3 linked regions of the Cricetulus griseus genome follow. The protein of the gene in region 3 interacts with the protein of the main gene of each other region in a pairwise test. Links are inferred from orthologs where the notes say so. Each region holds a gene or a part of one and is shown on either strand. Other genes may lie near its edges. The genes, in order: Ccm2l, Acot7 and Camk2b.

Evidence for each region.
Region 1: the proteins of Camk2b (region 3) and Ccm2l interact in binary tests that used the Homo sapiens proteins (3 or more experiments, as listed by UniProt). The two-hybrid records come from large-scale screens. The link is inferred for Cricetulus griseus from reciprocal best matches to the Homo sapiens genes CAMK2B and CCM2L.
Region 2: the proteins of Camk2b (region 3) and Acot7 interact in binary tests that used the Homo sapiens proteins (3 or more experiments, as listed by UniProt). The two-hybrid records come from large-scale screens. The link is inferred for Cricetulus griseus from reciprocal best matches to the Homo sapiens genes CAMK2B and ACOT7.

Annotation. Positions count from the first base shown.
Region 1 is NC_048599.1:26,937,044-26,940,689, forward strand, and holds part of Ccm2l (cerebral cavernous malformations 2 protein-like), read right to left. Parts: intron 3,304-3,646; coding exon 3,136-3,303; intron 1-3,135.
Region 2 is NC_048595.1:4,109,251-4,112,896, reverse strand, and holds part of Acot7 (cytosolic acyl coenzyme A thioester hydrolase), read left to right. Parts: intron 1-1,557; coding exon of another isoform or gene 1,558-1,622; intron 1,623-2,827; coding exon 2,828-3,012; intron 3,013-3,646. UniProt on the Homo sapiens protein: Catalyzes the hydrolysis of acyl-CoAs into free fatty acids and coenzyme A (CoASH), regulating their respective intracellular levels.
Region 3 is NW_023276807.1:98,786,950-98,790,695, reverse strand, and holds the start of Camk2b (calcium/calmodulin-dependent protein kinase type II subunit beta), read right to left. Parts: upstream 2,297-3,746; coding exon 2,232-2,296; intron 1-2,231. UniProt on the Homo sapiens protein: Calcium/calmodulin-dependent protein kinase that functions autonomously after Ca(2+)/calmodulin-binding and autophosphorylation, and is involved in dendritic spine and synapse formation, neuronal plasticity and regulation of sarcoplasmic reticulum Ca(2+) transport in skeletal muscle.

The sequences.
Region 1 (3,646 bases), on a different chromosome or scaffold from region 3:
AGAAGGGAGCTTTTGTTTTTTGCTGGCTTTCCCTCACTCTCACTGGCAAATTCATCTATCCTGCTGCAGAGGCATTTCTTCTATAGTATTAGATCCTGATTCTTCAGGACTTCCTCAAAGACTGAAGACCAGTTGAGACTCATAAACTGAACAACTATCAGATTCTTGGCTTTTCTGTTACAAGACTGTCATTGCTGAACTGGATGGAACATAGCCTGTAAGTCACTCTAATCAATCTCTCTCTCTCTCTCTCTCTCTCTCTCTCTCTCTCTCTCTCTCTCTCTCTCTCTCATTCTTATTCCTCTAAAGAACCTTGACTAATATAACCTTGTAGCTAGGACTAGTTCTGAGTTTACAGATATGTATATACACATATGTACATTTTCTCTCATCCACTCACCCTTGCTTTCAATATTAAAAGGCTGAACACAGTATAGCTAACTAAAAGTCTGGCCCAGGACTATAGCAAGAAAGGGTAAGACTGGCCAGGTTGTAGTGGTGCATGCTAATCCAGTACTTGGGAGTTGGAAGCAGGAACTTTAAGAGTCCAAGGTCATCCTTGGGTACATAGCAAGTTCAAGACCTCCCTGGGTGACATCAGGCTCTGTGGGGTAGAGAGAAGGCTTGATTGATTACATGTGCCAGAGCCCACATTCCAACAGCTAGCTGATACGCACTAACACATGGCCATCTCACTCTATGAGGTTCTGCAGGAAGCAAAAGTCACTAATTTAGTGCCCGCCGCCCAACTGCCATGCTGGAGATCAGGTTTGGAGTGTCTCTGCATGCTAGGCCAGACTCTGCCATTTTTCATGTTTATGTGTGTGCATGTTCCTGTGAGTGAGTGCAGGCATATGCCACAGCACCTGTGTGGAAGTCAGGGGATGCGCACTGCCTTCCACATTGTCGGAGGCGGTGTGTGTGTGTGTGTGTGTGTGTGTGTGTGTGTGTGTGTGCGCGCTCTCAGGGATTCTCCGTCTCCACCTCCCATCTCAACTGTGTGGGTCTTTTAGGGTCACAGGTGCATGTTTTGTGTGCACCTGATTTTGCAGGGGGTTGGGGATTTTCACCTGGGTCCTCAAATTAGCCAGCAAGCGATTTACCCATTGAACCATTCATTCCTCTCTCTACACCTGCCCCCAGACTCTACTATTAAATCTTGAAGGAAGCCTGGGAGTTTTCTTGCCCAATGGCTCCCTGAACCCCACACATTATTAATCCTTTTAACAACCACATTGTAGATTAAATGGAAAGAAGCATTGAATTAATATATCATTTCTTTCAAAAAAAATGATGCCCTCTTGTCAGGAGGTGGAGGCAGAGGCAGGTGGATCTCTGTGAGTTCGAGGCCAGGCTGGTCTACAGAGTAAGTTCCAGGATAGCCAGGGCTACACAGTGAAGCCCTGTCTCAATCAAACAAACAATAAAGGTAATAAAAATCTTTATTGTGGGAGTTGCCAACCAATGACTGCTCTAGCCTGAGACCCACATCACAAGAGGGAGCCCATGCCCAACACTGCCGGGATAGCCAGGAACCTTAAGCTGGATGACTCAGAGTACTAGGATAGAACCAAACAAAACTGACGGAAAAAAAAAAAGTCAATTGATTCCTAATGCTGTTCTGCTATACTCATATATCAGTGTCTAGCCCAATCACCATCAGACAGGCTTCTTCTGGCAGCTGATGGGAACAGATGTAGAGACCCACAACCAAACTTTGGGCAGAGCTCAGGGAACCCCATGGAAAAGGGAGAGGAAGGATTGTAGGAGCCAGAGGGGTCAAGAACACCACAAGAGCACAGCCCACAGAATCAACTAATCAGAGTTCACAGGTGCTCACAGAGACTGAAGCAGCAATCACAGAGCCTGCAGGGGGCTGCCCCAGGACTCTGTGCACATGCTGTGGGTTGTTTAGATTGGGGTTTTTGTGGGACTCTTAACAGTAAGAGTGAGGGTGCCTTTGACTCTTTTGATTGCTCTTGGGACCCTTTTCCTCCTTCCGTGTTGCCTCGTCCAGCCTTGATACCAGGGTTTGTGTCTAGTCTTAATGCATCTTACGCTGTGTTTGTTTAATACCCCTGGGAGGCCTGTTCTTTTCTGAGGTGAAACAGAGGAGCAGTGGATCTGAGGGAGAGGAGAGGTAGGGGAGGAGGGAACTGGAGGATTGAAGGAAGCGGGGGTTGTGATAAGGATGTATTATATGAGAGAAGAATAAACAAAAAGAAAAAGATGATGCTCTCAGTCAGCCTGTGGTTCCCCACCCATTCTGTTATAGCAGCATTATCATTTAAATGTTATTATTCAGTATAAGAATTAACTTTTTGTTACTTTAAATTGCAGTTTTCTGGGCAAATCTCACCACTCACATCTTTTCTTTTTATTCTGTAATTTTTTAGCTCTTGGTTTTTAAACATATTCATTTTCTGGTTTTTCTCTATTTATAGGATTGCCAGATAAAACACAAGATGTCAGTTAAACAACAATTTTGTTTTTAAGCTCTTTTTTTTTTGTATTTTTAGTTCCATTTAACATTTGGAGCATACTTATGCGAAAGAAATAATCATTGCTTATCTGCAATTTAAATTTGATTAGGTAGCCTGTTTGTTAAATGCCCTAATCCTACCTCACACCAATCTTTGGCTGATGAGGACCTGTTTCCCTCCCTAGTGCTCCTTCATGGTGCTTGTGAAATAGAAGTAAAGCTTTTGAGTAGTACGAGAGTCCTCCATTGTGGCTCCTCCCAATACCAGCACCTCAGCCCTGCCTCCTGTACTGGACAGGCAGCCTCCAGAATGCCAGGTGAGTGCTCTACCACTAAGTCACATGCCCAGCCTCTCCCTTGCCTTTAACTTGGACACTGAGTAACCGGAGACTGCAGACAAAAATCTCATGAGTAGGCGGAGCTTTGGGGAACACAGCACAGTTTCCCACTCCGTCTCCTGTGGGGGTAGGTTCTGAGCCCCACATTAGGACAGGAACGCTGGGGGCTCAGTGGGTAGGTGTCACCTGCTGAGGATATGCAGCCTGTGGCTATGAGGTAGGAGGCTGTTCCCCAAGAGTCACAGCTTCCTTCATGTGACACAGGGTGTGTCAGGAGTTGGTGTGAATCCCCCCCCCCCACCTTCTCATGCTCACCTTGACCTCTTTCTCCAGGTAGTCACACAGCAGGATGTGGGGATCGATGAGGTAGTCAGGAGGATAAAGGGGCATAGAATGCAGGGGCCTGCGACTGACATTGCTCCTGAAGGCAGCCTGCCGTGCAGCCTTCGGAAACACCAGCCTTCTGATGGGAGACACAAAGCCCTGGGGGAGACAGGAGAGTTCCAGTAGCAACAGCAGTGGCTTTACTGAGTGCTCGTAAGCTCAGTTCTACTCCCACAACCTAAGTTAATCCTCCTAAAATTGCAGGAGGAGCAGTCTCTGTGGCTCCCCTTTTCTAGCTGAAGCAGCGAAACCCCAGATTGAGAGCTAGGACACCAGCTGGTGACAGTCCAGGTGGGGTATCCCAGTTCCTACACCTCCCTGTGGGGAGGGTGATGTTCCTGCCAGCCAGATTCAAAGAGGATACTTAGGCATCTGTTAAGCTATTGCCTGTTTGTGAGTTAGAAATAAGCAATAAGTAAGTGTAAGTAAAATCGAGAGGCAC
Region 2 (3,646 bases), on a different chromosome or scaffold from region 3:
CTGGCATTAGCGGTGGTGCTTACATACCCATCAGGCCACCACCCTAGACAGAGGGTCAGAGCTGTAGGAGCTGCTGGGGCACTGGGGCTGACCTGCTTCTCCACTGGCTTAAGATGCCACTGATGGATCAGAGACTTCTAACGTGCCCACACCTATCTGTAACCACGTGGGTCACTGTGAACCGAGACACTCGTTGTTTGTTCTCTTCATCTCAGTGTGCCTGGACGTTCTGGGTGCCTATGGAATGGCAGAGTGTGAAGTGCCCTGCTTCTTCTGAGGAGCGGCAGGTGAGGAAGAGGTTGAGAGATTCTAGGGCAGCCATTCACAGGGTAGCCTTTGAGTTGGGAGGAAGCATTGGTCAGCAGTGTTTGACGGAGGTCAGCGCCACGCTTCTGAAGCACTCGATTCAGGCCTGGCCAGTGAGTTCTCCTCCAGAGTAAACCAGGGTCTCGGGCTCCCGAGTAGGGTGCTAGGTCTCTATAGTCCACTGCCCGTGGGTCTCTATGTTTACTCACCACATAATGGGGACCCCTGCTTTGCCTTTAGGGTTTCCAGACTGGGAGCCATGTAGGCTTTGGCCAGATCTGCAATGGCACATGAAGATTAATTAGAAGGAGTGCCGTGGAGGAGGAGGTGGACCGTTCTTGGCAGCATCTCTAGAGAAGAGACCGAGGGTGAACAAGCTGCCATTGTAGGAAGAAGTGTGGGCAGGGGAAGGCCACCATGGGGTATGGAAGGTAGAGGTCAGAGCAGGAACATCTCACGGTTTAGACCACCTGTAGGCTGCCTCTCCCCACCTGGTTAGATCTGGTTCTCCAGGCAGGCCTTGAGCCTGCAGGGCCTGGGTGATGCTCTGTGGCTCTCTGTCACTGGGGCTGAGGATTTTTGGCTTGGCTATCTGTGTCATCCTGTTATCGAAGTGACCAGTCGGGTGCCAGCTAGTGGATTCCTGTGTCTGTGGGGATCCCCCGAGGCTTGTGTGTGACATGTGATGTGGCTCTCCTGGGTTTGGGGTGTTCGTTGTGTTGATGGCATCCCTGACTCTCCAGACCTTCCCATCTGCTGGTCCTCTGGACTTAAACTTGGAGTTAGATACTGAACTTCCAGGCTCCGATGTTAAACCATGAGCAGCCATGGCCTTGCTGTGGTCCATGGCAAGAAATGGGTTTCGTGGTTGGCAACAGAAGCACACATTTCCCTTTGTCCTTTGGGATTCATAGTGTGTTTGGAGAACCTGGAATTTGCCTCTCATAGCAGTGTGCGATAGCTGGCCCTTCACACAGTGGGCCCTCGTATGACCCTTGGACTTTGGGGACATCTTGCTGGCTTCCTCTTGTCCCATGTCTCACCCTACAGCCCAGTTCTCAGTGGGCGTTTAGGAGAGGGCAGAATCACTGCAAGATCTGGGGCGACCAGTCTAAGCTGGTGACGGTCCCAGGATGTGGCTGTCACAGGTGTGTTCACTGTCAGATGCTTGCATGTGACTGAGCAATACAGCTTGTATGAGGCGGCCTGTCGCTGACCACCTGGCTCCTTCCTTCCTTCCCTCCCTCCCAGAAATGGCCATGTCTGCACTGAAGCCCTCTGTGAGTATGAAGGTGAACGCGGATTGGAGCTCTCTGGTACTTGTTAGCAGAAAGCCCTGCTGCCTTTACTGTCTCTCTCTGGCTGTCTCAGTGTGTCCTGCAGGGCCTGTCTGCAAGCTAGGATGCTAGATATGTGTTGTAGGGCCCCGCAGCCAGCACTGGTCCCTGCTGAGTAGACCCTGTGACCCATGTGGCCTGGTCCAGGAGAAGACTTTGCTGGAGATGGGAGGAGGGTTCTGGTCACACATCAGTCAGAAGTGGCAGCAGCCAAAGCCCCCACAGGCCAAACCCATGACAGATGGGAGTCATGACCCTCGGCAAGCACTAGACTAGGCCCTCTTCTGTTGTCTTTCTTCTCACCGTTCCCTGAAGGTCAGGTTCTCTTGTGTCCATTTACAAGAGCAGAAGTGAGCACCCTGAGACCAGAAACTGCCAAGGGTTGAGAGGGGCAAGGCCCGGCCGTGGAGGGGTAGGGTGGAGGGGTTGGGTGGTGGCAGGGAAGAGGCATGAAGCCTGGAAGCAGAAGGCAGACTGAAGTACCATGTGCCCCAGGGTTTGGTGGTGTGTGTTGACGTAGACGTCACTCGGGCGTTTACAGAGACACTGGCACTGCACTGAGGTCACAACCACCTGACACCATGTTGGTGCTGAGAAGAGGTGACCTGGGTACAATCCCAGCACACTGTCCAACAGCTCAGAGGGTGAAACTTGAGCAAACCTGACAGACAGACGCATGACCCCACCAAAAGCTTAGCGTCATGGCTTATGTCAATCCAGCATAAAGATTGTGAGCCTCTGGATATTCCTCCCTGGTGCTCAGAACATCACAGTGGGGCAGCTGTGTGGCCAGGGGACACCACCCTGCCCTGGAGGACAGGGAGGGCAGTGTGTTTGACCTTCACCTGAGGCAGAGCTGAGCAAGCTCACCCACAGCCTGGCTGACAACCTGCCCGTCCTGGCCCTATGTCAGGAGGCCCAGACCCAGTGGTGGCTGCCACAACTGCTGGGGCAGCACTGAGTGTCTGCTCAGGACACAGATGACTCACCTTGACTAACAATGGCCACACTAATAGTTTGTTGTCATATGTCCTTGTAGTTGCTACTGCCTGTGTCGCCTAACCCATTGTCTTAACCGTCCTCAGTAACATGGGTTTCTCACTGACCTGCCCCTGCCTACTTGGCGCCCCATGGGTACAGACTGGGCTGGCACCGCTAACGCAGTGGCTGCATGTACTCTGCAGGCTGCGTCGTCACCATCTCTGGACGCATGACCTTCACGAGCAACAAGTCCATGGAGATTGAGGTCCTGGTGGATGCTGACCCTGTGGTGGACAACTCACAGAAGCGATACCGGGCCGCCAGTGCCTTCTTCACCTATGTATCCCTGAACCAGGAGGGCAAGCCGCTGCCTGTACCTCAGCTTGTGGTGAGTGTCCTAAACCATGGGCTGCCCTTAGGTCTAATGAAGTCTTGAGAAGAGGCACCCTGTAGGCTGTAGGCTATAGGCTGGACAGATGGGTCAGACCTCTGAGCTAGTCACCATGGCTGGCACACTGTCTGGAGCTCCTGGCAATGTGCTCATGTGCTGGAGTGATGTCTTAGAAACATTTCAAGCCAACTGGGAGTTGGTGGTGCACGCCTTTAATCCCAGCACTTGGGAGGCAGAGGCAGGCAAATCTCTGTGAGTTCGAGGCCAGCCTGGTCTCCAGAGCAAGTGCCAGGATAGGCTCCAAAGCTACACAGAGAAACCCTGTCTCGAAAAACCAAAAAAAAAAAAAAAAAAAAAAAAAAAAGAAAAACATTTCAAGCCTTGTGTCCTCCAGCTCATCAGAGGGCCTGGGAGGACCCAGGGGTGGGAGGACCCAGGAGTAGGAGGACCCAGAGGTGGGAGGACCGGGGGCGCACCCTCCCAACATGGATTGGAACTTTTATGTCACCTGATGCAAAGCAAGCTTCAGTTCTATGGTACTAGGGGCTCAGTCAGATGAGGACAGGGTTAGCCCACTGGCCATCTGTGTGCCTCCGACTCCTCATCTGTGCAGGGTGACAAGCACAGTATG
Region 3 (3,746 bases):
CCCCAGGCAGGCGCCGACAACAACTAGCCAACATGGCTACTGGGGGCAGGAGGGGGGTGGCTAGTCTCACTGTTTATCCTGAGGGTAAACTTGTCATCATTTCCTACCTGCCAAAGCCAGAGTTGGTGGATCAGACTCGTAGTCAGTGGAGGTGGGCATGGTAAGGCCCTTCACCACTCTCCTGACCATGCCTGGAGCCTGGTATCCAGCAGTCTCCACAAAAGGTATGCTGGGCTGAGCTGACCACTCCTGACTAGCTGGCCCCTCCACACCAAGCTTGGGGTCTCACCCTGGCACCTGTGTGGTTTCTCTACACTTGGGTGAGGGGCTTATTCTTTTGTACCTAGGGAAGAGCTGGCAGTTTCAGTCCTCACCTGTGTCTACTGCAAATGCCACCCTTCAGTTTCAACTCCCCAGCGGGGGTGGCAGCGGCCACCTCATGCTGCTGTTCAGCACAGACAGGACAGCTTGCTCCAAGGTGCAAAAGCAGACCAGCTAGGTGATCTGGAGGTTATGGTCTCTTGACACGGACTCCTTGGAAGATACCAAGAGGCCCAGGGAGGGATACAGGCTCCTGGGCACACAGGAGAAGGTGACAAGAAGGTTCCCTCCGAAGCAAAGACTTCCCACTGCTCTGTTTTGACTACTGCCACCTGCCCTGGCAGCATAAGAAGCAGCTGTGGAGGAGATGGGCCCCTAGCTGGGAAGAGCCCTCTTCAAAAGCATCAAGAAGGCCTGAAGGACTGCTCCCAACCTCGAGGCTGCCTCACCCCCATCTGAGGGCTCCCAGCCCATCACCTCTTCCTCTCAGAGCACAGCCCCCACCGGCTACTGGAAGCTTCTTCAATGACTCCAAGTATGACAGGAACTGAAGAAGGGGTGCTGAGACAGCTATTCAAGTCCACCCAGCCTAGGTCCTTGCAATCCAGCATAGGCTTCCTCCTGCCACTCTACCCCCCCTCCCCCAGGCCTGACCCAAATCTTCTGGGCACGTGCAGTTAGAAGTGGGGAATGCACACACCCCCACACTCCTCCAGCTGGGCACTCCACAATTATCAATGATCAGCGTCCCTCGCCCACCACAGCTTTCAGACGCTTTTTTAGTAAAGGGAAAAAAAGGATTTGCGGCTGGATGTGTAAGAGGAAATCTCGCCAGCGCCCCCACGGTGCAGGAGGGATGGGGGAGGGGAGAGGGAGTGGGAAGGAGGACCCAGCTCTGGAGTTATGCAGCTAGTACCTAAGGATGCCCCTGCAGTCACCTTAAATCACAGAGGGAAGCTCCAGGCCTGACACGAGGCCCCTGGGGGCTTTGGTGTTTCGGCGACCCCAGGGGCAAAGGCAGGTCTGGACGCTTTAACTATAGCTTCCTCCCCTTATGCTCATGCTGCGGGGCAGCGTCTTGGCGCCAGGGCACCTGTTCCCCACGAGGCCCTACCCGAAATACGCCTTCAGAGTCCCTTCCCCAGCCCTCCAATCACAGCAGAAAATAAAATTAAAATTAAATAAAATAAAACGGTTCAGAAGCCAACCTCTGTCTGCCTCGATGACCCTGAAATCGGAGGCCCAACTGGTTCCTGGATTCACTCGCTCACCCCCACCCCATGGCCTGATCCTGGCTCTCTGACCTCGTCCACCCCCTCCAAATTCTTGTTTCCAGAAGAATCTGGGGGAAAAAATCCTCCAGAACCCAGATTCCCCAAGGGACCCAAGGCAGAAGCTGCTCCCACGCTGCTCCCCCAGAGCAGATGGGGCCACGCGAGGAGCAGGCGCGGAGCGGGTCCGCCACCGCTGCCGCCCGCCGCTCGGGTGGGGGTGAGGACAGCTCGCCCACACCGGGGACGACCCCCTGAGGCCATGGCCGACCCCTCGGGCACTCTAGGCCTGGCAGCCGTCCCCGCGTGCCGCTCGTCTCTGACCTCCCCGCCGCCAAATGCGTCACGTCTGCCCGGCGCTCGGGGGACACCTGCTGCCGCCCCCGCCACGCCGAGTCCAGATCCCCGAGTCTCGGTCCCTGTCAAGCTATGGCATGGGGCAGAGCCGTACACGCTGCGGTGGGGCAGCGGGGACCCAGAACCCGAGGCTGGGGGTCCGGGTGGCACGGGGCAGTGAGCTTGGGCCCGCAGCCCGAGGGAGCCGGGGGCGCGCGGGGCCGCAGTGCGCGCGGAGCCGGCGGCGATGGGGTCCCCGCTCCCAGGGATCTGCGGACAGCCGGTGCGCGCCAAGGCTCTTACTTGCCAATATCCTCGTATAGCTGGTACTCGTCGGTGAAACGGGTGCAGGTCACCGTGGTGGCCATGGCGGCGGCGATCGGGCTCGGCGTGCGCTCGGCTGCGCTCGGGCGGCGGCGACTCCGACTCCCGCTCGCGGGCACGGCGGCGACACGGGCGCGGGCGCGGGAGACACCTCGGCTCGCGGCGCCGGGCGGGGGCCGGGCTGGGCTGCGCCGGGCGGCGAGCGCACGCGAGATCTGCTCGCTCTGTCCCCGCCAGGAGCGCGCCGCACACCTACGCGCGCAGAGGCGCGGGCGCCGCTGTCGCCGCCGCGCCCGCCCCGCCCGCCGCCCCTTGCACGCGCCTCACCCGCACCCTACACACGCCTGTACCCGCACACGCACCGCATCTGCGCCTTGTACCTGCACTAGCACCCGCGCCTGCACGCGCACTGCGCCCGCACCCTGCACCCGCACCGCGGCTCCATTCGCACACTCGTCGCGCCCGCGCCAGCACCCGCACTGCGCCCGCACCATGCAATCCCACCCGTGCCCGCGCCCTGTCCCAGCACATGGACTGCACCACGCGGTGCCCACGCACTGCGTCTGCCCCTCTAGGCTCGAGCCCTGCACCGACAAGCCACTGGGCCGGCTCTTACGCTACTGCAGTTGAACAGTGAACCCAGACTCTTCTAAACAGCAAGAGGGAACTGCACCCCACTTGGGAAGGGTCGTGTATTGCCCTCCACTGGGCTCTTCCGTTCCCCGTACCCCCACAAGATGCTGCCAGACCCTTCCTGCCTGGCCTGGCAGAGCTGCCCATGAGTCTCCTAGGCGGAATGGGATGAGGGGGAGAGGATAGAGCTTGCTGGCAGTGGTCCCAAGCCTCTTCCCTGCTTCTCCTGGGATTGGTGACTAAGGTGTCTTCTGTCCTGAGGTGAACAGTTGGAGTCCAGGTGGGGCCTTGGAGTCAGCAAAACAGGGGCTGCTCTGCTCTGTCACAGATTCCTGTTACCCAGATAGTCTGGTCCAGCCCTTTGCCTCTGCTCTGGCCAGGAAGAGAAGCCGCTATTCTTTCTCGCTTTCTTCCCAGTCTCTCTTGAAAGAGATTCTGAAGGAAGGAGGGTACAGGCAGATTCCCACAAAGCTCCCCTCGGCCAGCATCCCCAACTAGACTCTTCCTGGTATTTGGGGAGGGGAATTTGCAGCCAGTTTGGATGGCATTGGTAGGAGATTGCCTCGATTCTTTCCACTTACTAATCCCCAAGAACCCCGAGAGTTTTGGTAGACTTGGATTTCAACCAAAGACAAGCCCAGGGCATCTCAGCAAGTGTCTTAGATGCAGGAGCAAATGAGTGCTTTTTGCTGGGCAGCTAGGGGTCTTCCCAAAAAGGCAGCTTTGACAGAGTGCTGCCAGCTGAAAACAGGCTTCCTGGAAAGTTCCTCCTATGAGTGTCCAAACCTAGCCTCCACTACAAGACAGACAGCTAGAGAACAAGAGACATGCATGGACAAGTGCAGGTCCCAGTCAGAAGAG